Linked DNA regions of Notamacropus eugenii. The protein of the gene in region 1 purifies or fractionates together with the protein of each later gene. This does not show direct contact. Links are inferred from orthologs where the notes say so. Each region holds a gene or a part of one and is shown in the gene's direction. Other genes may lie near its edges.

Region 1 (7,743 bases):
AAAAGAACAAAAGTTCATTGCAAGTAGATTGTTTCACTCTTGCTAACTCTATCACCCAGTAGAGAGACTGCTTAATACCTGGTTCATTTTGTTTCAGAAACTATCTTGTTGCTGTTCAGTTGTTCTTCAGTTGTGTCTGATTCATCCTGACTCCATTAGAAATGTTCATGGAAGAGATATTGGAGTAGCTTGTCATTTCTTTCTCCAGCTCATTTTGCAGATGAAGAATCTGAAACAGGGTTAAGCAACTTGCCCAGAGTCATATAGCTAGTAAGTTGTCTGAGGCCAGATTTGAACTCAGGAAGATGAATCTTCCTGACTGTAGACCCAGCACTCTATCCACTGTGCAGTATAGCTGCCCTGATTTTTTTTTCCAAATTCTTTTAATTAGAATGGTAGCTTTATTGGATAAAAAGAGAATGATGAAAAAACAAACACAAAAAATCAATGAGCCCAGTTAGCTTCCATGCCTTTTGCAGTTGTGTGGATTCTACCTCTACAATATCTCTTACATACATCCCTTTCTTTCTATTCACAGCCACGGTCCAGGTTTGGGCTCTCATTACTTGTCTTATACTACTACTGCAATGACTTCCTAACCAGTATTCCTTCTTCTAGCCTTTCCTCTCTCCAATGCATTCACCATAGCATTTGTGGACAAATTAACATTCCCAAAACATAAGTCTGTCTGTATCATTCCCCTGCTCAAAAAAATCTTCAACAGCTCCTGATTTTTGTTTCTAGAATAAAATAAGAACTTCTCAGCATTTAAATTCCTTCACAATCTGGCTCTCATCTACCTTTTCAGCCTTATTCTATACTATTCTCTTTCATATCCTTAATTTCCTACCAAACCAGGCTACTAGCTATTGCCCAAATTTACATTTCATCTTGCTTAAGGGTCTTCTCTCATTAAGCAAGCAAGCAATATTTATTAAGTACCTACTATGTGCCAGTACATAAGGGGATGTATGTACTGGGGATGAAAAAAGAGGCAAAAGTCAGTTTCTGTCCTCACAATTTAATTAAGAAGACAATATGCAAACTTATACAAACAAGCTTCATAAAGGACCAACAGGAAATAATTAAAAAAGAGAAGGCATTAAAATTAAGAGAGGTTGGGAAAGGCTTTCTGTAAACGATGAGATTTTAACTGGGACTTAAAGGAAGCCAGAGAAATCAGTAGGCAGAAGTGGAGGAGGCATGGAAGACAGCCAAAGAAAATGCCTGGAGCTGGAGGTGTCTTGTTTGTGGAAGAGTCAGAAGGCCAGTGTCACTGTATTGACAAGTACATGTTGGGGAATAAGGTATATGAAACTAGGTTATAAAGGACTTTGAATGCCAAACAGAGCATTTTATACTTGGTCATGGAGGCAATAAGGGAGCCATCGGATTTTGTTGAGTGGAGGAAGGGAGTAACATAATCGGACCTGTGCTTTAGGAGAATCATTTTGGTGGTTGAATAGAGGAGGATGGATTGCAGTAAGAAGAGACTTAAGGAAGGTAAACTCACTAGCAGGCTATTCCAGTAGACCACACATGAGATAATGAGACCTGAACTAAAGTGGGGGCAGTATCAGAGGAAAGAAGAATATATATACAAGAGATGTTGCAAAGGTGAAATCAACAGGTCTTGGCAACAGATTAAAAATGGCATGGGGGGAGTTGTATAAAAGATAGTGAGGAATTAAGGATGACACCTAGGTTGCCCTAGGTTTTGAACCTGAGGAACTGGGAGAATAGTGTTGTCCTCTTGAGTAATAGGGAAGGTAGCAGCAGGTGAGGTTTTAGGGAGAAAGATAGTAAGTTCTGTTTTGGATATGTGTTTAAGATATCTACTGGACATCAAGTTTAAGATGTCTGAGAGATATCTGGAGATGTGAGACTGGTAGTCAGCAGACACTGGGGCAGGATGGGTAGATTTGCAAATCATCAGCATAGATTTGGTAATTATTCCATGACAGTTAATTGACATCACCAAGTGAAAAAGTATAGAGGGAGAAAAGAAGAGGGCCCAGGACAGAACCCTGAGGGATACCTACAGTTTGAAGGCTTGATCTGGATGAGAAGCCAGCAAATAAGACAAAGGAGTGATCTGACAGGTAGGAGGAGAACCAAGAGAGAGAAAACCTACGTAAAACAGAGTATATACTCAAGGAGTAAAGGGTGATTAATAGTGTCAAAGGCTGCAGAGAGGTCAAGGAGAATGAGGTTGAGAAGAGGACTTTGGATTTAGCAATTAAGAGATCACTGACAATTTTGTAGTGAGCAGTTTCAGAGGAATAATGAGGCCAGAAGCTAGATTATAAGGTGTTAAGAAGGGAGTGAGAAGACAGAAAGTGGACACACCTATTATAGATGGACTTTATGAGGAATTTGGCTACAAAGGGCAGAAGAGATATAGGATGAAAGTTAGCAGAGATGGAAGGATCAACTGGATCCTTTTCAGGCCAGGAGAGACACAGGAATATTTGTAGACAGTAGGGAATGAGCCAGTAGACAGAGGCTGAAAATAAGTGATGGGGCAGGGATGATAGAGGGGAAATCTATTGGAAGAGACAGAATGGAATGGGATCACTTGAACAAGTAGAGGGGTTAGCCTTGGTAAGGACTAAAGCCTTAAATGTGGGACAGAAATGAAGGAGGAGAGAGAGGAAGAAGGTACCCAATGGAAAAGAGATGAGGGAGAGGGGAAAAGAGGGAGCTCATGTTTAAGGGCCTCAATTTTTTCTGTAAAATATAAAGAAAGTTTCAAAGCTGAGAGAGTGGGGGCAGAGGGGGCCATGGAGGTTTGACAAGAGATGGAAAGGTTTGGAAGAGTAACAGTGGGGAGTGAGATAGTGAATTGATAAGGAAGGTAAAGTAAGAGTGCCTAGCAGCAGTGATCAGGAAGGTGTAAAGGGGATATCTCACTCAGCGGAGGACCATTTGAGATTAAGTCACACAAATCTGCAGTACACCCAGTCAGCACAGTTGTGATTTTCTCCAGCTTTGTTTGCCAACACTTGAGTAAGTACAAGTAGCAGACAATAGAACTGATCCCAAGCTGGGTCTTGGCCATGTAGGAAACAGTGATAAGATAAAGGGGCAAAGGAATGGTTTAAATCTGGGGTGGGGAACCTCAAGTTCAGCCCTTTGACTGAATCCAAACTTCACAGAACACATCCCCTTAATAAAATAAATCAAATCAAATAAATTAAATTTGTTCTCTACAACTGGGACTCAGTCAAAAGGTCTCCCCCAAGGATCTAGGGGTGGTCCCCACCCCTGGAAGGGATTAGAAGTCACAGTGAAGCCAAGGAACAGGTTTAGATAAGCCAGAGGGAAATAAAGAATAACTTAGAAGATCATTATCGGATAACCACGCAGGCGGAGCACTCGAGGGTATCCCCACCTCCGTGCCCAGCTGAGGTGGCACGGAGGGGCTGGGAAGTTCCAGTGTTTGAGGAGTACCTCTAGGCACGTTAAAGTCCGATCCCAGCAGGGGATCCATCCCATTGGGAGGAAGTGGGGGGAGGGGGGCGCCGCCGGCAGGTAAGCTCCCACAAGTTTGACTGGGCAGCCACGAGTTTGGAGGCGGGAGATAATTCCAATCCAACTCCCCCCCAGGGCGGGATGGCCGGGGTGCCAGCACGGCGCCTCTTCCCAGTCCGTTACCAGTGACCCTGTACCCGGCATGGTGCCCGTCTCTCAGCCTCCCCGCTCGCCGGCCCCGGCAGTCCCGGGAAGCGCGCTGCCTTCCACGTTCCTCGGCCTGTTACCTACCCATTGTACCCGCTTGTCCCCCAGTCACGGAGCCCGCTTCTAGGACCGAGCCCTGGGGCCCGCCCGGCTCAACCTGCTTTTACAGATGAGGAAACTGAGGCCGGGGGGGTTTGTTAAGTAACTTTCTGGCAGTCGGGGTGGAATCAGGCCGCTCACCCCAAAGCTACAGCCCCTAACTCTCTGTCAGAAATACCTGCTCCCGCGCCTAAAGGAGGGTACGGCAGTAATCCAACCTCAGCTCGCTCGGCCTCCGCCCTCTCATTCCCAAAACTCTGACCCGCGGGAAAAGGGGGAAACGAGAAAAGGCAAAACAAAAAAACAAGCAGGGAAGACCCGAGGTCTACGGGAATCAGGGGCGCGGGCGCAAGCGGTCCTTTTTTCCCTCCAGTCCCGCGGTCCTGCCGGGGAACAAGTTCTGACTAGGTCAGTAGCACAAACATGGCGGCCCGTCTTCTCCCTTTCCCCACCCCCAACCTCCTCCCGTCAGCCGCGCGCCCCCGCCCGCGCCGGGACGAGGCCGCGCGCGAATCTCCAGTCGCGCGGGAGGCGAGCGTTTCCGAGCATTTCCGAAACGGGACCTGGAATTGGAGGCGGGGCTCGGGCCGGAAAGAGCGGAAGCGAGAGGGAGAAGGAAAGTAGAGAGGGGCTGGCCCCGCCCAGATGGGGAGGGCGAAGGGAGCGGCCGCGGCGGCGGCCGCGACGGCGGGGAAGGAGCAGGGGGAGGGGAGGCCGGATGTGAGTGGAGCGGCCATTTCCTGTTTCTCTGCAGTTTTCCTCCAGCTTTGGGTGGTGGCTGCTGCCTGAGATCGCCTTCTAGTCGGCTAAGGGGCGAGGCGGCGTGGACTGCGGTCCCCGTCCCCCCTCTCTCCACGTACCGCCGCTCCCGGGGCCTTCCCCCGCCTTGTCAGGAGCCCATCCCGCCCGGAGCCCGGCGGTCCTCCCCTTCTGCTCCCGGGCAGCCCCGGCAGCCGCCGCCTCCACCTCCGCCGCCGCCGCCTCCGCGGCAGCCCCGCGAGCCGCCCCGATGCAGGCCATCAAGTGTGTGGTGGTAGGAGACGGGTAAGTCCCCTTCCCCCCACCCCCGCCCGCAGCCTTCCCCTCGTCCTCCCGCGCGGCTTCCTGCTCTCGGGGGGCGCGGGCTCGACCTCCGCCGGGGGGTGGGGGGGTACCCTGGGGGGCGTGCGGGGGCGGGGTCCGCCGGGTGTCCGGGGTGGGGCGGAACGGCGGGCGCCCCGCTTCGCGAGCCCGAGGTCGGGGTGTCCGGCCGCCCGCGGAGGGGCTTCCTGTAGGGTGGCGGCTGGATCGCTTGGGCCGGGCCAGCGTTGGAGATACCCCGGGGTGGGGCGGCTGTGGACCGTCCCGGGGTCGGACTCCCGGTGGGGCCTGGGCCCTTGGGGTTAGGCTCGGCCTCTAAGGATCCCGTCCTCAAGTTGGGGGGGTTCTCTTGAGCCCCTCCTCCTCCCCCGCCCGGACACTGTTCTCACTGCCTTCCCCGAGGGCTGGGTGGGAGAGGCCGCCAGCCTCTCCCACTTCTTGTGCCTGGGATGGTGTTAGTTTGTGCTCCGGGGTCCTGCCCTCTTTTTTTTTTTTTTTTTTTGGAAGCGAGGGATTGATTTACCCAACCCAAAGGGAAAAAGTGGGCTCCACCCTTTTGCTCAATTCAAAAACCCAGTTTGGATTTAGGCAGAACTTAAAGTTCATGAGATGAACCTCTGAATCAGAATGCCTGCCTTCCGCCCTCCCTTGTAGGTTAGGTAGAAAATTATTTTTCTTTTAAAGTGTGTTTCTGGTGATTTATAATAACTCCATTTCCTAAATCGAAGTAGCTTATTGAGAGCTAGGTGAGTACTTTAAAAATATAACTGTCGTTAAGGTTGATAATGTTTTAGGGTTAGCAGACTGCAGTGAAGGTGATTGATCTATTAGGTGGTCTAAAATTTTATATACAGGGTTTTTGTAGTCTCAGTTCCTGTACTTAAGTAGTTTTTGCTTCAAGGAAGCCTTGGTTTTTGCTGTTCTTTCGGTAAACTCTTAATGTACTTGTGGTAAAGAAGATGAGAGTGAATTTATTTTGAACACAGTAAGATGTCCAGAAAACTGATTTTAGCCCAATGGGATGCAGTAGAACAAGCTTCCTGAGGAAAAAATTGATCCCTGTGACTCAAGGCATATCATTTCATTACAGTTTGTAGTGTTGCTGGGTTTATGGGAAGACAAGACTTGCCTTATGCGATTTATTTTCCCCCTCAACTCCCCCCCCCCAAGAAACAAATATTCCAGTGTAATCTGAACAAAATTGTGTATCACAGTATTGCTTGTGCAATTTAGAGTTGGTCAGGACTCCTGAAAAATGCTATTAGCCTCATGAAATTTCTGCAACAAATGAATACATTTTCCAGTGTTGTGTTTGAATGTTTTTGTTGCTTAATAATACTCTCCAATAATTAATTACTGCTAGCTTAGTGAGTTTTTTTGAGATCTATATTTGGGTTTTGACTTTGTGCCTCTGTTAGTGATGGTTTTATTAATACCTAGCTTTCTATTTGAAATTTAGATTCTTGAACTGGCTTAAGATGTCTGATTGAAATACAAAAATCGAAAGGCTCGTGAATTTTTATGATAATAAAATTTTAAAGCAATATTCTGAAGGAGTTCCTAGTCAAATATTAAAATGGTAGAACTAGGAACTTGTACATTGGTAAGATAAGTTTAACCTTTTGAAGGAAAACAATTAGTTCTGGAAAACATGTTGAGTAAGTGGGTGTGGAAAATAAAATAAATTTATCTTAATCATGAGGTTGGGGTCCTCCTGTGATTAACTAGTTAAGAAATTTGAATTAATCTTGCAAAGTTTTTTTAGCCTATTCAGTTTCATTTTTCTTTACTGTTGAGAACAAGTTTCTTGTGACAAATTAATACATGGCATTTTTTTTTATTTAACCAACTACCCCTGGTCAGTTCCACATTTAGTCATAATGAGTAACTTGACTTCAAAAGATTTGTGATGTGCTCCTTCTATCAAAATAGAATACAATTCCTTCATTCTTTAAAAGTCGTCCTAAGTTTGCTGAGACCACAAAAATCTAGTGATCAATCAGCTTTCTGGTAATGAGCCTCCAACCTCTATGAAATTAATTAGAAAAACTCTTGTACAACTCGAAGTTCCTCGATAGGCCTGTTACTTGAAACTTCGCTTGCCAGAGCTTGCCTTCCCTGGCGTAGCCCTTGAAAACCCAGCATTACTTCCATGCCAAGATTAGGTATCAGAGCAGCATTTTACTAGAGGAGGAAATAATTTAAGATACTCTAAAAATTAAAACTAGAGGTTTTAGATCAGTTTAGTTTATTTAAATCTAACAGTAATACTTTTATTGATTTTGTTTATGAAATAAAATATGGAATGCCAGTTACATGAGCTATATTGCTAGACATAGGAGATATAAAAGTAAAAATGTAAAAGACCAGTCACTACTGCCCTGGATAGATTGGAAGACCTGAGTTCACTTCCTGTCTTAGACCCAGGGCAGGTCACTCAACTTACCCCACCCCTTAGCTTCAGTTTATCTGTTTGTAATATGGACAATAATACTACCTACTTCACAGTATTGTTGCTAAGGATCACATTAAATAATATATGCAAAGTACTGTATAGATGTTAGGAATTTGTATTCCCCTCAAAGAACTTACTCTATAGTTTATTATTTTTTTGTAATCTTGATTGATTAGGGCTAGGTGGCATAGAAATAAAACAGGAATGCTTTTTAGAAATGTCATCTTGATAATTTCCCCATTCAGATCACTTTTACTACTTTTAAGAGCAAGTCTTGTAGCAAATGGTACTTTGAAAAAGAGGTCCCCTGTTCAGCTGAAAAACTACATTCAATTCAGCAGATATTTGTGAAATATACTACATGTGTTGGAGATGACTGTTAGAATATTTTAATTATTGACACTTTTCACAGGATTTCTGTTAATTAT
Region 2 (8,317 bases), about 260 Mb from region 1:
AACACTAGAAATAGGTGAGAAACTTCAGAAAGCTGAATTTTTAACGAGAACATATTAGCTAAAGTTGATTTCTTGAAGATAAAAGAGACATGAGGAGCCAGTCTGACAACTCCAACTAGTCTATTCACTTTGAGAATTCTGGATCTTGATTATTATGAACACCTCCCCTCATCAAGCCTATTTGTTTGGGCCTGTTCCATTTCCTACACAGCTATTTTGAGTGGTCTTCCCTTTAAGAAGTTCAGAGGATAGTTTAATTCTGATGTAGTCCTGGAATTTATCCCAGAAATGGATTTTACCTGTCTTCAAAGAGTCAGCACAGCAGAGTGAGGGGAAGGCTAAACCTGTACTCAGTACCTGGGGTCTGGATGCCATTTCAAATGTTCATTCACTAGGTATTGAACTGTGGGTAACTCATACAATCCTGGACATCATCATAGGCTTAGGGCCAGAAGATCTTTAAGAGGCTATCTATTCCTACCCCCTTATTTTACTGGATATACATCCGAGGCTCACGGAGTTTAAATGACTCCATCATGCTCATAAATCTTGTATCAGAGGATTTGAACCCAAGTTTTTCTAATGACAAAGCCAATACTCCGTCCCCCTATGCCAATTTCCCTTTCCTAAATCATCTCACTCCTCAGAGCCACAGGTTCTTCAGCTTTCAAATGAGGTTAATGCTACTGTCAGTGTCTACTGTTGTGAAGAAAGTGTTTTGAAGACCTTAAATCATTATGTAAATGCATTATTATTTTGTAATCCAACAAACTTTCAGAGCTGGTGTGCCAAAGCTTTTATTTCCAATTTTGTATCTACTCCCTTAGAGAATTGGCTGAGAATGTGTGAAGCAAGCCGGGGAGAGGAAGATAGGGGTTGGCACTTCTCCTTTGTGAACTGAGGATGTAGACAATGGGAGCCAATCCTGTGATAAAGAAGCCTCCATGGTGCTAAGTAGCCCTGTAAATAGGGGATTCCTCAGGGAAATACTTTCTGAGCCTCTGACTTTTGATCAGTGAAGTAGTATAGTAGGCCCAAGTCAGACTTCCCTGAAACCCTCCCCCAATTTATTATCTCCTTTAAAATGCAAATATTTCTGGGAGTAGTCATGCTTTAAGCTCTCAACTAACAGTTTCATTTTCGGATAACATTTTGGCAAATTTTACTTGATCCCAACTTAGGACAAGAAAGTAATGCTGAATATGTAGGGTAAGATATGGAAGAGAAAGTTTGGGTGGATAAAAGGCTTGGTGGGATACCAAAGATTAGAACTACCAAACAACTTCACCTAAATCAGGCAGGCTCCATTACTTAAAAATAATCTCCATAACTACATTTAGCATATGTACTCAAAATTGTTCACCTCTTTTATAGTCATTTATTGATGTACATTTTTAAAAAATTGTAATAGTGGCAACATGGCACAGTGACCTCAAAGTCAGAAAAATCTCAGTTCAAATTCTGTCCCTGACATTGATTGTGACCTTGTGTCCCTCTTGGAGCTTCAGACAATTCTCTAAGATCATAAATTGAAAAGAAAGTGCCCATTTGCATTCACAGAGAATGAAATATTAACCTCAGGGCCTCAGTTTCCTCATCTATATGAGTGGGTAGGAATAGATGATGTGGGAAGTACCTTTCAACTCTAAAATCCTGTGATCTATGATCTATGGTGCTACTGCTTATTGAAAACAAAGTTGGATCTCCTTTACAAATCAGCTGCCATCTATTCATTATTCAGTAATCAAAAGATACCTAAAGTTATCCTTGTGGGTTTTCAAGAAAGAAGAATCATTCCAGCTCTGTAACTTTAATAATTCATCAAACACGGTCATGCTCTCCAGTCATAAGCATTCTTTATCACAGCCTCTTTTCCCTTAAAAGGGTGGAATTATTTAGCAAAGTTTTTGATTATAAGGAAAGTAGGGTTTGTCTTCTGCAATTTATACACACCTTCAACTTCTTCTTGTTGGGGCATGCTAATCAGAGTTCAATATTTTTTTTCTGCTCATTTGTAATTCACTTGGCATTGACAGTGCTTCACTGATCATTATCATGATTTCATGGCTTGGCTATTTATGACTGTTTTGCATGGGCTTCCCCAGTCAGATTATTATTCTTCAATTTTGTATTACTTAAACATTCACTAAGAGGCCCTCCCAGAAAGCAGAGTTCCTCTGTTGGAATGCAGGAACAGGCTCATTTCATGTTCCTGTTGACTTTTTATAACCAAGATTACTCATCACAGCTGAAGTTTGGGGAACAATAGATGGAAAATGGTTTCAACATTTTTTCCATTGAACATTATTTTACAAAAAAATGTGTTCGAAGGAACTATTAGTTCTGCTATTAGTACTGATATTAATTTAGGAAATACTATAATAAATAGATAACATTACACATTTATGTTGTTTATGCTAAATATTATGTGACACATTTACATGAACTAGATATGATTCTTTTACAGCAGCTTATACACGTTTGTGAGAAATAGACAATTTGGCCATGCAGGAAAAGATACAAGGTACAAGGGTAAAATTAATAAAGCCTAGGATTTAGAGAAATCAGAATCATTTAAGAGATTATGCAGCCTCACTCAAGTAACACCTCCTCCTAATAACATTCTCCATGAAACCTTTCCTAATATCCTAGACCCCTCTGACCTCTTATTTTCCTGATGTAGTTGTTTTTGTTGTTGTTGTGTTTGTCCTTAGTTCTCAAAGAGGACCATGACATCAAGATGAGGACATGACTTGCAGTTGACTTTGATTTGAATGAGGGAGGGCTGTACAAGGTCACCAACTTCACTTTCTTCTCCTGAACCATCTGGGTCCAGTGGCCTGATATTCATCAGGATGACTGGAGGACGCCAAGCAAGCAAAGTGAGACCCTGGTCCTTTCAGGCTAAGATCTTATCACATTCTCACTTTGAGTGAGATACACCCATTCAATGAATAGGCTTCTTTAAGTAGTTACTCAAGGGATGGCCCCTTTAATAAAAAAAAAAAATCAAACTGGGAGGGGAAGACCTTCAGGGTTCCTGGGTAAAAGAGAAACAATTACTATTTAGTAATTACATTCACTCTGTGCTGGGTGTTGGGGATTAGTGATGGAAGGAATTCCCTTTGTCCAGTTCCCTTCTCTTACATTACTTTATCATGGGGTTTGCTATTTGCATTCCATATCATCTTGTATTATTCCCTGATTATTACATGTATAGTAGTATCCTCTTCTTTCCAAATAGATGATAATCTACCAGAGGGCAGTATATGGATTATATATTCTATATTCTATAAGTGCTATTTCTTTTATAACTTCCCATAGCACCTAACTTGGATGCTGAGCACACACTCTCAATGACGTGGTTTCATCAGTGAAGTTCAATCACCAGGACAACCCATCTAAAAACTGGAAAAGTTGTCTTAGTCAATAAAAGGTTAAATAACTTGCCCCGAGTCACACAGTATTAGCAGCATGATTTGAATTCAGGTCTTTTGACTTCAAATTCAGCATTCTATGCACTTAGGACATGTAGTCATTTTATAATATTGCACTGAACTGAATTGCATGTACCTTTCTCTAGGTAGTATCCAATGGAATTTTTTCTTTCAGTTAAATATATCACTCTTACTTTCGCTAAACTGGGTTTAAATATGTAAGCACGCATTTCTTTCTAGTTTTTGCAGCTGAGTTCTATTTATTGCTTAAGGGTCCTAAAGGTCTTAAGAAAAAAATAGCCCAATTTGGATGACATCATTATTTCATTTCTTATAAAACAGTAAAGTATCCTTCTCTTAATAAATTAGGGAGATGATAGATTAGATAGATGACAGATAGATAGATAGATAGATAGATAGATAGATAGATACATAGATAGATACATAGATAGATACATAGATAGATGATAGAAGGGAAATGTATTTTATTTGATAAGTAGTGAACAGTCTCTGACTCTTCCTGGTTGTATGACTCCTGGGCAAGCCATTTACCCTCTAAATGCCCTAGGTCTCTGTCTTAGACCATAAAAAGGTGTGGGGCTGCTTTTCTCAACAGAAAATTCCCTAAACTAGTAAAATCACGAGTCCAGTCCCTATCCTAAATCGTAACCATCCCTCCATCCAAACTCTAGCCCAGCAATAAAGTCGCAGGTTTTATTTTAATATTATTTTAGTTACGACTAATACTGTAATATATCGTACAAACATAGCATAACCTGTGGCGTGTTTTCCCCTTCATTTAGAGAAAATCAGCAATAAAAGTAAAGAACAGTTCAACATTTGCATCACTTTGAAATGAGCCAGGGGGGACATATATAGGTTCGCTCTACAAAGTGGTACAAAGGTACCAAGTTTCCAGACGAGGCTAAACATATGTAAACGAGGGTCACCGAAAGCATACACACTCTAACACCCCGACTTTTTGCTTCAGTTTAGGAGATGTAACTAAAATTTTCCACCCCTTTTTCATCACCTTTCCCCTTCCAAGCTGCTGAACAACGCTTTTTCCTGGGGGAGGAGAGATAAAGGGGTGGGGTGGGGGTAGGACCTTGCATTTCGCCCCTCAGAAGTGGTCAAGGACACGCTTAAAGCCTTCTGCCTCTGCCGGAGGTGCCCTTCCCTCTTGGGAATCCCTCACTAAACTTGTTCCACTTCACACCCTCCTGCTGGTGTGATGCACCAGGAAAATATTCTTGTTTTTCAAGCAGGCTCTCTTGGATCGCCTTGGTGGCTACACGGCTGGGAAAATGTTGCCCCAGGTTTAAAATAAATGCCTCGGTAAAACATGGATAAAAAGCTCGCTCGCTCCTACTCCCCCCTCCCTCCTCGGGCCCTCCCGGCTGCTCCCGGAGTCATTGGGGATGTGCCTAGACCCAGCACCGCTGTCATCCTGGCCAAAAGCAAGCCGAACAAACCCCTGGCCCGCCGCCAGCTCTCTCACTCGCAGCTACCTCCCCTCCCTAACCTACCCCACCCCCAACCCCCACCGAGATGTTTTTTCTTTCCTTTTTTTTTCCCTTCCCATAATACAGGATCTTCCTTCCTCAGCTCCCTTAAATTATAACCCAGGGAAATCTCCACCAGAACCTCCCTCCGTCAAACCCAAGGCAGAATGTCTAGTGGCAAATACATAGACTCCGAGGTAGGATTTGCTTCGTCTTCGGGGAGTTTCTCAAAGCCCCAAACCCCCACCCCCACCCCGGGCACGAGGTGCCCTGCGGCCGTATGTCCCTCCCTGGGAGCGCCCGCCGGCCGCGGCCATCTCCAACCGCTGCTGGGAGCGCTCCCACTGCCTTTCTTTACCGCTCTCCCTCTTGACCTCCGACAGTCACTGCTAAGGAGCGGGCGTCGGTCCGGGGAGTTTCGGGGAGGAATCGGGGCTGGGGGGAGGGCAGCGCCCAAACTGGCTATCTGCTCCGTTTGTGGTTGGCTTTCTTAGGGAAATCACCGAGCAAATTGCTGGAGGGGGGGGGGGTGGAAGAGGTGGACGGGATAACCTTGGGGGCTCCCCGACTTTACGTCTGCCAGAACAGAGATCCACCTCCTTGGAGGTTTTTCGTTATTTGTTTTCTCTCTTACACCCCCCCGCCTTTTACCAGCTGCCCGGCTGATAGCGCTGGGGCGGGAGGCTGGAGTGTCTGGGAACGCGGGGGGACGGGAGGGGCTGCGGGGGCTGTAGCTTCCTCATCCAGCAGTTCTGGGCAAGCACTACCCGAACCCAGACCCTGGCGTCTGGAAAAGCTTAACTGGGGCGTTGGCGCGCGCTCTGTTTGCTCTCCCCCAAGTCCTTGATCCCTCTCTAAAAACTCCTTAGGAATGGAGTTTGCAAAGGGGAGATTTCTCCCAGCTCATCCTCCCCCCAGAACCCAGACCCACATTTATGCAGAACAATTTTTTCCCCCAAGTCAGTGGCCGCGGCGCCTATCAGAGTTAGCGGAAGGGGGAGGGGGTACGCTGCTGCTAAATCGGGGGAGATGCGATTGGAATTTAGGGGAGACGGGTGAGATGTGGGGAGGTGGGCTCGATCTTGAGATTCTGTGAATTCTAGGAGGTGAGGGTGGGAGTAACCTCTTGGGGTGAATGGGGTGAGAGGGGGTGGGCCGCAATAGATATCTCTAAGCTTTAGGGCTACCTGAGAGCAGTCCAGAGAGCGCTAAGGTGGGATGCTAGAGGAGGGGCCGCAGGTGCACGGTTTAATGGGGGCTGGGGTTTGGGACGATGAGCAGTGAGTGACCCATCGCTCTATCGGAGAAATCCAGGGTTAGGGGAGGAAGCTACAGGTGTCAGAGACTGGGGGGAGGCGACCGAAGCAGGTAAGGAAATCCCGGTAAGGTGAGGCGCCCTAAAGTGGGGCCAGGACCAGGGTTGAGCCCAAGGCTGCCGGAGCTCTCTGGGCCAAACACGGGGCGCTGAATACAGGGAAGGCGAGGGAGTAAAAGGGGGGGGCAGTAGGAGAGATTTGGGAGCCGGACGTTTGGGCTGCGTTTGCAGATGACCCCTGGCGGCAGGAGCGGGAGTCGGGCTTCTCCGCCTGGTACCGAGGGGTGTGGTGTCGTCTTTTCTATCCTTTTAAAAAGCCAGTCTCCCCGTGAAGTTGACTTTGCTCTGAGCAAGTCGCAGTACTTGCCGCAGCTGCAGCCGCCGCCTTTCCAAAGAATAAGAATCACCCTTCTCTCTTCCTTAAGCTTGAGAGCTTTCCCAACCTCCGGTTGACTTTTGTCCGCTTGTTCTGCTTTTTTTTTTTATTTCCAACCCCCCCCCCCCCCCTCCCCGTCCCTACCATCACCACCACCCCCACCCCTCCTCCCTAGGGGCTTCTCTATTCGGCGCCCATCCGGGAGCAGGGAAACATCTACAAACCCAACAATAAGACCATGACCGACGAAATGAACGAGAAGCAAATGTACGATGCGCACACCAAGGAGATCGACCTGGTCAACCGAGACCCCAAGCATCTCAATGACGATGTGGTCAAGGTAAGGGCTGGGCTGGGCTGGAGGGAAAGTGACCTGAACAGGTCCTTCAGGCAGGACCCCCTCAGGGTCGCACTGATGGATGAGGGCACTGGGAGCCCAGGTATCAATTATATTATATTGCCACCTCTGGGACTGATAGGAGTAATCCGCTGAAAGCTCATGGAAAAGGCAGAAAATGAATTTTCCCCTTCTCTTTGCCAGGTGATTTCAGCCTAACCCTAACCCCTTAACTTCCACTGAAGTCTACTTGTAGCCAGGCATCCTAACTACAGAGAACTGCATAGGCAGGCTGCTTCTAGCTAAGGCAAGGCTGTCTGCATCCACTCTGATGCCTTGAAGAACTACTTGAACATTGGTACTCTTAGGACGCTACTGTAAATACCTATAGGCATGTGGAATACAAACACAAAGTTGACAGGATCCTGAATTAAAATAAATGTTTTTCTTGAAAATACTAGAATGGGTGAAAATGCTGTGAACCAGGAAGGAGTGAGTGTTCCAGTGAAATGCCAAGCTCTAAGTTTTTAATCACACAGTAAGTGTGCAAAAATCTCAACAGCCTGGAGTCCATCGCACTGGGGAACCAGCTACTTTGTAATCGGTACTTTCATTTATGATTTCTTACATAAATCTGCTCCTGAATCTCATGGACCAAAATGAATCCTTCCGCATATACATGCAGAACATTAGTTAAAAACCAGTGAGCTGTCAAAACTTTTATCAACAGTCGGCATTGTTTATTACTATTATTGCAAACTTTAACCACATTTTAAGCAAATGTGGTCAGAAGACTGCATCGTTAGGACCCATTTGGATTGAGTAATTGTGCATATTACTGTTACTTGGCAAAGGGCTTACTTTTCTGGGACCAAGAAGGCCAAGGAGACCTCTTGGCTCAAGATAGTAGAATCTAAAGCCACTGCCCTGCAAAATCCTGTGACTGCAAACCTGATTAAAATAAAACCATTTCAAGTCATCCAGGACTTGTTACATGAGGATCGGAGTTGGGAGGAGTGAGATTTCTGTAACTCTTTGTGTTTATGAATAGCATATTTTAAAAGGGGAACATTTTATTCTGTACATGTGAGGAAAATGAGCATATTGAACTTAATTCCCTTGGCATGAGGGCAAAAGGGAAGTAGTAACTGGAAGCTTTTAAAGATTTTGCTGGTAGAGCAGAGTATGGAATATTAAAAAAAAAAGCAATTTGCAATAATCTGAAAATTAAAACTGCTAAATTCTGAATAAATTGAAGAGAACGTAAACCCACTTATCTCAAATTATTTTAAAGAGGAGGATAAAGATAAACTTTATTAAGTTTTTCTCCCTTATTTGGCTTTTGAT
Region 3 (8,328 bases), on another chromosome or scaffold:
GCCCCAGAGCCTGGTAGCAGGCTGCCATCTTCTCCTGGGTTCCCCCTTGGTCTCCTTGGGGCTGATAGTGGCCCAAGGCCTTATGGTACCATGCCAAGGCTTGAGACAAATCACCCAAGGCATGGTAGGCCAAGGCTACATTGAAGCACTGGTCACCATGGCAAGCGCCCTTGGTCTTTTCCTCTGGCTTAGCCCAGAGAAATATCTGGAGACCACGTGCAGGGTCTCCAGTCTCCACATAGGCTGCTCCAAGATTGAAGGCGCAGGCACGGAGGACCCTGGTGCCCCTGTCTCCCTGGGCCTCCAAGGCCAAAAGAAAGGCTCGATGAAAACTAGCTAGGGCTTCATCATTTCGGCCATCCCTCAGAGCCCCATGCCCAGCTTGGGTGAGGGTCTGGATACTGGCTTCCAGATGCTTCTTCTTTTTCTTCTTCTTCTTGGCTGGCCATGCTTCAGTCCCTGGTCCCAGGGAGTTGTCCTCAGAGGCAGGAGAAGGCATAGAACTGACAAGATAGCAAAAGGAGTTGGTTAAACAACCACAATTACTTTCAAAGAAGGATCCCTTAAGCTCAGTTCTGTCCCTGGCCAGTTATGACCCTCCCATGATCTAAAATGTCCTCCCCAACTGCAGTTGCAACTTGTCTCTAATTGTTTATCTGGTAGGGAGAGCCCAGAGAGTAGTGGTATAAAGGGTGGAAAGTATAGTGGTCTTGAAGTCAGAAGTCAGGTTCAAATTCCAGCTTCAAAACTAATTAGCTGGGAATTTACTTAACCTTTTAAAGTCTTATATTTCTTCCCCAACCTGTAAAATGGCTTGCTTTGAGTAGAGGTCTTTGTCAACTTCCAAACATCATAGAAGTTTGAACTTTTGTTATTATTAGATGACAGAATCTAAAGCTAGATGAAACTTTAGGCAACTAGGTGGCTCAGTGGATAGAGCATTGGGTCTGCATGAGTCAGGAAGAACTCAGTTCAAATCCAGCTTTAGATACTTACTACCTGTGTAACCCTGAGCAAGTCACTGTAGCACTGTTTGCCTCAGTTTCCTCAACTGTAATGGGGATGATAATAGTACCTACCTCCTACTTTCCAGGGTTGTTGTGAAGATTAGATGAGATATTTGTAAAGTGCTTAACATAGTTCTTGGCACATCTTATGTGCTATGTAATTGCCTATTCTCTTCTTTTCCTCTTGTCTCCAGTTATCTAGGCTAGTCTCCTTGATGGACCCTCTCCTCCATAATTAACCTTAGTTTCTTAATCTCTAGTCATTCCTCCAGGCTGTGTTTTCAGAGGACCATAACATCAGGAGAATGATGACATGACTTGCAGTTGACTTTGATTTGAATGAGGGAGGACTGAGCTCCCCGAATGGGAACCCAGCTAGTTGGGTAACTCAGATCATCATCTTCCCCTCCCTCTCTACCTCTCCCTCCTCTCTCTCTCTCTCTCTCTCTCTCTCTCTCTCTCTCTCTCTCTCTCTCTCTCTCTTTTCAAAGACCAAACCTTAAACCCATTTCACTCAGGAACTCACAGATTAGACCACAATAGCTCCCTGCCCAAGCTTTGGGCCCCCTTGGCTCAGAGTAAACAGCAATGTAACTGTTCCTCTTTTGATCAGCAATCCAGAGGATCTTCCCCTCACAGTTCTTTCTTTCTTTCTTTCTTTTTTTTTAATTAAAGGGGTCATCCCTTGATTCACTTCTTACAGAGGCCTATTCATTGAATGGGCATCACCTCACTCAAAGTAAGAACCTGAAAAGACCTTACCCTATAAAGGGCCAGGGTCTCCCACTGCATCCTGGGCCATCTCAAGTCTTCCTGATGAATAAATATCTGGCCACTGGACACAGATGGCTCTGGAGGAGAAAGTGAGGTTGGTGATTTTGCACAGTGCTCCCACACTCAAATCAAAGTCAGCTGCAAGTCATGTCATCATTTCCCTGATGTCATGATCCTCTTCAAAAACAGAAGGACCAATATAACATTCCTCCCTACCTTCCCCACCCCACTACTCCCCATACTGTCTAAAGGCTAATCATTATCTTTCCTGCTGTAGTATCAGCCAAAACATGGAGACCAACGATGCTGAAGCCCCCTTTTTCCTGAAGAAGAATCTCCCTTCAGATCCCCAAATGCTACTTTTCCTTCCCCTTTCTCTTTGTTTTTTTCAATACAATCTCTGTCCTTTAGGTCTCTCCTGGTCTGTAACAGCCAAGAAATAGTAGATCTGGAAGGAACCTTAAAGATGATCTCATTCAATCCCCTAAATTTATAGATGAGAAAAATGAGACACAGAAAAGTGAAAGAAATTTCCCAAGATTAGCTAGGTACAAAGAGCTAAACTTGCCTTACCATCCTGGCCCCCCAGGACTTTATCCAATAATCTTAGAACCACAAGGTACTTCAAGGTAAGGGTCACATTAACCATGCCTCTGTCTCTATAAAGGATTCCCCTCATTACACATTACTGGGATCTAAACCCAGGTGCTCTGATTCTTTCCATTCTATTCAGCTTCTGTTCACACTACTTTCAGCTTACCTTACACCCTGGAACCCAATTATTGTTCAGTCATTTTTCGTGTCTGACTCTTCGTGACCCCTTTAGGCATTTTCTTGGCAAAGATACTGCAGTGGTTTGCCATTTCCTTCTCCAGTTCATTTTACAGATGAAGAAACTGAGGCAACAAGGTTTAAGAGACTTGCCCAGGGTCACACAGCTAGTAAGTGTCTGAGGCCAGATCTGAACTCACAAAGATGAGTTTTCTTGACTCCAGGCCCCCACTGTGCCACCTAGCTGCCAAGTATACCCAAGAACCCAAGTAAAGAATACATCATAATCATATATTTCCTTAGCACCTCTCTCTGAGGATCTCAAAACCACTTATTTCACCTTACCTAGATTCAAAAGATGAAAAATGAGGCAAAGAGAATTCAGTTACACAATTGTGACTCCCAGTTCCTTTCCATTTCTCCTTCCTATGAGAAAGATCTGAAGAGGGAACCAGGGTATTCTATTCACACACACACACACACACACACACACAATTTCTTGCCTCTGTGATGGGTGGGCTTAGGAACATGGTCATCCAGCCTCCTGCCTCAAATGACCGAACTGTGCCCATCCCTAGGTCATCCTGTAGCCCCTTCACACAGCAGGTATTTCCCTACCTCTGGCTGCATTTGCCTTGGTGCTGCCGCCTCTGTAAGATGGCTTTGAAGACTTAGGTTACCTCTGCTCGAAGCCTGGGGCGGGGGTTGGGGGGAGGAGGGTGGGGTTGGTCACTGTGACAACCTACTAACACCCTCCCCTCCTAAGAGATTCCTTGATTGACAGTTTAGGTATCCTATCTGAGTTCTGATCCTTTGAGGTGGAGCTTTTTGCAAAGTCATGGGATACCTGAATTCTCATTAAAATTGTAGTTCCTCCCTTCTTACCTCTCCAGCCCTACTTTGATTCTATTGTCTTTTCTCCTGGCCTCGGTTTCTTTCTCGTGGAAATAGCAGTTTAGAGTTTCCAGGTGGGGCCTTTTGGTCGAAAGTGGTTAGTGAGCTATAAAGGAGCCCTATGTCAATGGGTATTCATAGTCACAGCTGAATATTGCAGGGACTTGTGACTTTGCGGGTGTGGGTAATCCCTCCAACTAAAGCCCACCAATCCAATTCTTCCTTGACTTAGGAGATGGTCTTATAGAATTTCTGTGGCTAAAAAAATTACTTAAATAATTTTATGAATGCCCTTTTGCTTTTTCCCAATTTCTCCCACCCCCAAAGGAAAACTTCTCTTGTCAAGGAAAGCTAGGAATCCTTGACAAAGAGGAACTAGTGAATTCCACACCCATTATTATTATGCTCTTGGAAAAGACCAGACAAACTAACTGCCCTGAGGCAATACTCACAATACTCCATCTTCCTAGTACAGAAATTTCCTTCCCTGGCCTCTACTCCCCGAAGCTGATAGTAGAATGTAAACTACACAGCGCCTGGCACTTAGGGATAAAGATAGGCTCCGAATCTGGGCTTTCACAAACATAGGAAACTCCTACAAAGAAGGTCCTATACTTTGTCATTTATAGCTCTTAGTAAGTTGCCTTACCTGAAAAGTCCCAGTCAGAGCTGGAAATATATGTCAGTGATGAGACTTGAACTCAGGTCTTTCTGGCCGGAGGAGGGCTCTCCGACTTTTTATTATGCTGCTTCTCGGAGGTATTTATGATCGATTGATGGTCCCCTAAATTTCCAATGAAAAGAGGATGGTGCATTCCTTCACCATCGAAGTCAAGACTGAGCATTCTAACGACCTCACTTAATTATCTTTTTTGGTTTAAATTATTGTAGCTATTGTGTATATGGTCTTCCTGGTTCTCCTGGCTTTCCTCTGTGTCCCTTCATACTGATCACTGGAATGGACCTTTGTAGTTATCTAGTCCAAACTCTTCACTTAACAGTTGAGGAAACTGAGGCCTGAAGAGTGACTTGCCCAAGGTAGAGCCCATCTGGTGACCCCCCCTTCTCTGAAATCAGCTGGCTCCTCAGGCAGCAGACACTTGGAGATGGGGGCAGGAGGCCTGTGATGAAGAGGGGGCCTGGGGTGATGCAGAAGGGAAGCAGGGAGCTGGGGGGCACTGCGTGAGGGCTGGGGTTACCTTAAGGGGAGAAGGGCTGGGGAGGCAAAAGCAAGGAGGTGCAGGGACTAGGAGTCTATAGTGAGGAGGGGGCTGGAGACAATGGGAGGAAGGGAATGGCAAGAGGTACAAAGAGGAGGGGAAGGAAAGTGGCCAGCAAGACAACCGCGGTCCCCCGGGGCTGGAGTTTGAAGGTGTCTCTTCTCCTTGTGGGAGAGGCCGACGTGACTGGGAACTACAAATCCCAGCAGGCCCCGCGGCGCGGGCCGGAAGTATCCTGCCGAACTGTTGCAACTGGAAGGGGCGGTGGCGGCGGGAGATTCAAACCTGGGAACGGGAGCAGGAGCAGGAGCTGGAGCTGGAGCAGGAGGGCGAGGAGCATGGAGGCGAGCAGAGCAAGGCCCGGCGGGGCGGCCTGTGAGTGACGGACCGAGGGTTAGGGTCGAGAAGGGACGGGGCTGGCTGGGGTCTAGAGCCGTGTGGGGTTGGCAACCCTGGAAAGTCAACGAGCATTTATTAAACGCCTACTGTATGCCAGGCCCTGCGCTAAGGGCCCTCGTGCTATGCTAGAGCGCCCCGGAGACCGGGGTTCGAGCCCTATCTATGGGGTAGATACAGTGACTTGGAGTCCCCGACTCCGCCGTTTACCGGCTGGGTGGCTTTGGACCGGTCACTAACCCACCTGGAAAACAGGGCTGGAGGAAAACAGCAGGGCTTAGTCTGAGGGGACGTGGGAGCCTCCCGCTGGGCCGGGCTGCTGAGAACTAGGGCATCCTTTCGGGCGGAGGGGGGTCAGAGGTCCTCAAATCTAGTCCATCAATTAAAATTAGACAACAGCTTACGTAGTGACTGGGGGAATGATAACATTTAGTGCCTTAAAGTTTATAAAATGTGCTCTGTACAAGCATTTTACAGATATGGAAACTGAGGTTTGAACAGGAGTCGCAGGTTGTGCCAGACCTGAGACAGGACTGAACCCAGGTTTCTGGACTCTTAAGGTGGAGATCTTTATAGTTCCCTGTCTCCTGAGGATTCTGGGGTTTCGGTCTGGCCTCCTGGGTGGAAAGAAAACCCCTCCCCTTGCTCCCCTCTCTTTCCTCCAACAAATGTGTTTATTTTGGGGGGGCTCCAAAAAGTAAAGTCCATGAATCTGTAGAAGGAAGCTTGTGAGGGTGGCTTTAGACTTTAGGAAGTCTGGAAGAAAGAGTGCCATTTGTGCACACACACCCACACAGAGTCCTGCCCAGTTTTCAATTCATACCTCTGGAGTGAAGTCATTTACCAGCTTACTTTCCAGGCTTAACTGCCAACCTTTTTCTTTTTTGTTCCTCCCTTGGAGTAACTGATGGGTTTCTTGCCATTGGACTGTCATTTGGAATATGGTCCTGAGAGTATATTTTTAAAAACCTCATTTGACTGCCAATTCAAATTAAATTCCTCGAAGAGAAATTTGACAGTCAGCTAAAAATAATTAACCATAGAAATTAAGTGCTGGGTCAAAAATAAATCAACTGAACTCTGTTATCTACTTTTAGTTCACTCTTGAGCTCGTTATTCTTTGGAATCTTTTGGGTGGGAGCTTGTGGGTGGGGCAGGGTCTTAATTGTGTCTCCTAGAGTAGATCTTCAGAATAGTGGGATGAGGACTAGGGGAGTGGTGGGTTGGGATCCAAAGGGGCCTTGAGAAATATGGTTTTTGTCAGTGAAGATTTGGTGAATGATTTTCTATTTTGATTATTGGGGGATTTTTTTTTTGAAGATTGCTTGGATCTTGAATTTGTAAAATCAGACAGTCTTAGAGTTCAAATATAATACACTCCCTGTGCCAAATAAAATGCACTCCTACTTCATCTCTATCAAAATCTTTCTCTGTATTCAGCTTGGGTGCTCACCTCCTGCATGAAGCCTTCCCTGAACTCAGTTGTCTCCTTGATTTTTCTCCACAGTTTTTTCAAGGGGTATTCCTAAATGACAGATCTGAGCCTGTTCCTCCCCTCCTCAATCAACTCCAGGGTCTCCCTATTCCCTCTAAGATCAAATACAAACTTCTGTGTTTGGCATTTGAAGCGACACATATTCACAACCTGGCTACATACATCATTCCCCTTCACACACTCCAGTCCAGCTAAACTGGTCAAGCATGTTCCTCCACCTTCTTTCTTTGTGCCTTTTTACAGGTTGTCCCCAATGGATCTAATGCTCCCCTTCCTCACCTCTGACCCTTAGCATCCCTTGTTTCTTTCAAAATCTCAGCCAGGTGCCACTCCCTACATGAAGCCTTTCCGGATTCTTCCAGCAAAGTTACCTTGTATTTATTTGTATATAATTTCGTGTATATATGTGAATAAGTTGTCTGCCTCCTCTAGGATAGAAACTCCTTGAGGGCAAAAACTTTCATTTTTTTGGCTTTCTATCCCTAGCACAATGCCTGGCACATAAAAGATGCCTAATAAATGTGGATTTTTTAAAAAAAATTCTCTAGCTCTAGTGCCAGGTCATTGTGTCCTGAAGATATAACACATTTGATTAATGGTTGTTTAATTGAATTGAGATGTAATCTTAGAGGGCATTTAATCTAAGTCTAGCAGATATATACCCAATGGGTAGTCATCTAGCTTTAGCAAAAGCAAATATCATTTATCTCCTTGATCTGACATTTGAAGAAAGAGCCAGTTCTTGGGGAACTCTTAGTTAAGGGGAGCTAAGGATTCAAGTGACCAGAGCTCCAGCCATCCCTCCTGGAGGGTGGAGGAGGGATGGGAAGAGAGTGACAGGTAAGGAGGTAGGCAGGAAGAGAGTGATGGGTTGGAAGGAAACGTCTGAGAAGGTTTCCTAAAGGAGGAAACTGGAAAAAGTAGAAAATGAAACAAAAATAATTGGAAAAGTGAGAGAAGGACAAAGAGAAATGGCCTCTGAAGTCTAAGGGGGTAAAGAATATTGGGCCTGGACAAAGTAGTTTTTTCCCATCTGAACAGGGAATATAAACTAATCTGAGAGGACTCTAGTCTAGGGAATTGGAACTGGGTGGGTGAGTGTCAAGCAGGAACTTTTTGAGGTTTTCAGGCAGGGGAGGGATTACATCTGAGGAAGATGGTGAAGGATAGGAATCAGGCATCCTAGTGCTCTTTTGATCTGCCGCTGACTGTGTCATACCTTCCCCCTTCCAGATGAACGCCTCACTGCAGAGGAGATGGATGAACAGAGGCGGCAGAATGTTGCCTATCAATATCTCTGCCGCCTGGAGGAGGCCAAACGGTAAGTAGAGGTAGGCAGGAGGAGGCCAAGAGATAAAGGGAAGTGGGTAGAGGGAGACTAAGGAATGAGCGGAGGTGGGCAGGGTGATGTTAAGTGGGAATGGGGAAACCAAATTGTGAGTGGGCAGTGGGCAAGGGATGGCCATGGGGTCAGTGGAATTTTCAAGGTGTCATCACAAATATGCCTATCCTTCATCCTACTCCCTCTAGCCCAATCCCAGCTAAATTATTTGGGTTGATATCACAGCAACACCTGTTTCTTTCTCCCAGGAGATAAAAAGGGAGAAAAAAACATAGGCTAGAGACATAGTGATGTTGGGGTGATACACAGTGGTCATGGTTTTTGCTCAGTTCTCGGGCCATTTCAGAGAATTCCCTGGCATCCCTCAGTGAATAGGACAGGACTGAAGATGAGACTTAGGGGACCTGAAGGCTGCCTTCTTGCCTCTAA

The links. Proteins that work in one complex are often made in the same cells at the same time.
Region 2: the proteins of RAC1 (region 1) and CAV1 purify together in Homo sapiens (affinity purification with western blotting; 4 studies listed by BioGRID and IntAct, with this or other methods). This does not show direct contact. The link is inferred for Notamacropus eugenii from reciprocal best matches to the Homo sapiens genes RAC1 and CAV1.
Region 3: the proteins of RAC1 (region 1) and IQGAP3 purify together in Homo sapiens (affinity purification with mass spectrometry; 3 studies listed by BioGRID and IntAct, with this or other methods). This does not show direct contact. The link is inferred for Notamacropus eugenii from reciprocal best matches to the Homo sapiens genes RAC1 and IQGAP3.

The regions. Positions count from the first base shown.
Region 1 is NC_092874.1:396,154,154-396,161,896, forward strand, and holds the start of RAC1 (ras-related C3 botulinum toxin substrate 1), read left to right. Parts: upstream 1-4,481; 5' UTR 4,482-4,789; coding exon 4,790-4,824; intron 4,825-7,743. UniProt on the Homo sapiens protein: Plasma membrane-associated small GTPase which cycles between active GTP-bound and inactive GDP-bound states.
Region 2 is NC_092874.1:136,584,293-136,592,609, reverse strand, and holds the start of CAV1 (caveolin-1), read left to right. Parts: upstream 1-4,840; 5' UTR 4,841-5,109; coding exon 5,110-5,139; intron 5,140-5,793; exon of another isoform or gene 5,794-5,877; coding exon of another isoform or gene 5,878-5,901; intron 5,902-6,808; coding exon 6,809-6,973; intron 6,974-8,317. UniProt on the Homo sapiens protein: May act as a scaffolding protein within caveolar membranes. Forms a stable heterooligomeric complex with CAV2 that targets to lipid rafts and drives caveolae formation. Mediates the recruitment of CAVIN proteins (CAVIN1/2/3/4) to the caveolae.
Region 3 is NC_092873.1:380,719,895-380,728,222, reverse strand, and holds the start of IQGAP3 (ras GTPase-activating-like protein IQGAP3), read left to right. Parts: upstream 1-4,851; 5' UTR 4,852-5,004; coding exon 5,005-5,041; intron 5,042-7,790; coding exon 7,791-7,878; intron 7,879-8,328. Other genes in the region: TTC24 (tetratricopeptide repeat protein 24), read right to left, coding at 1-499.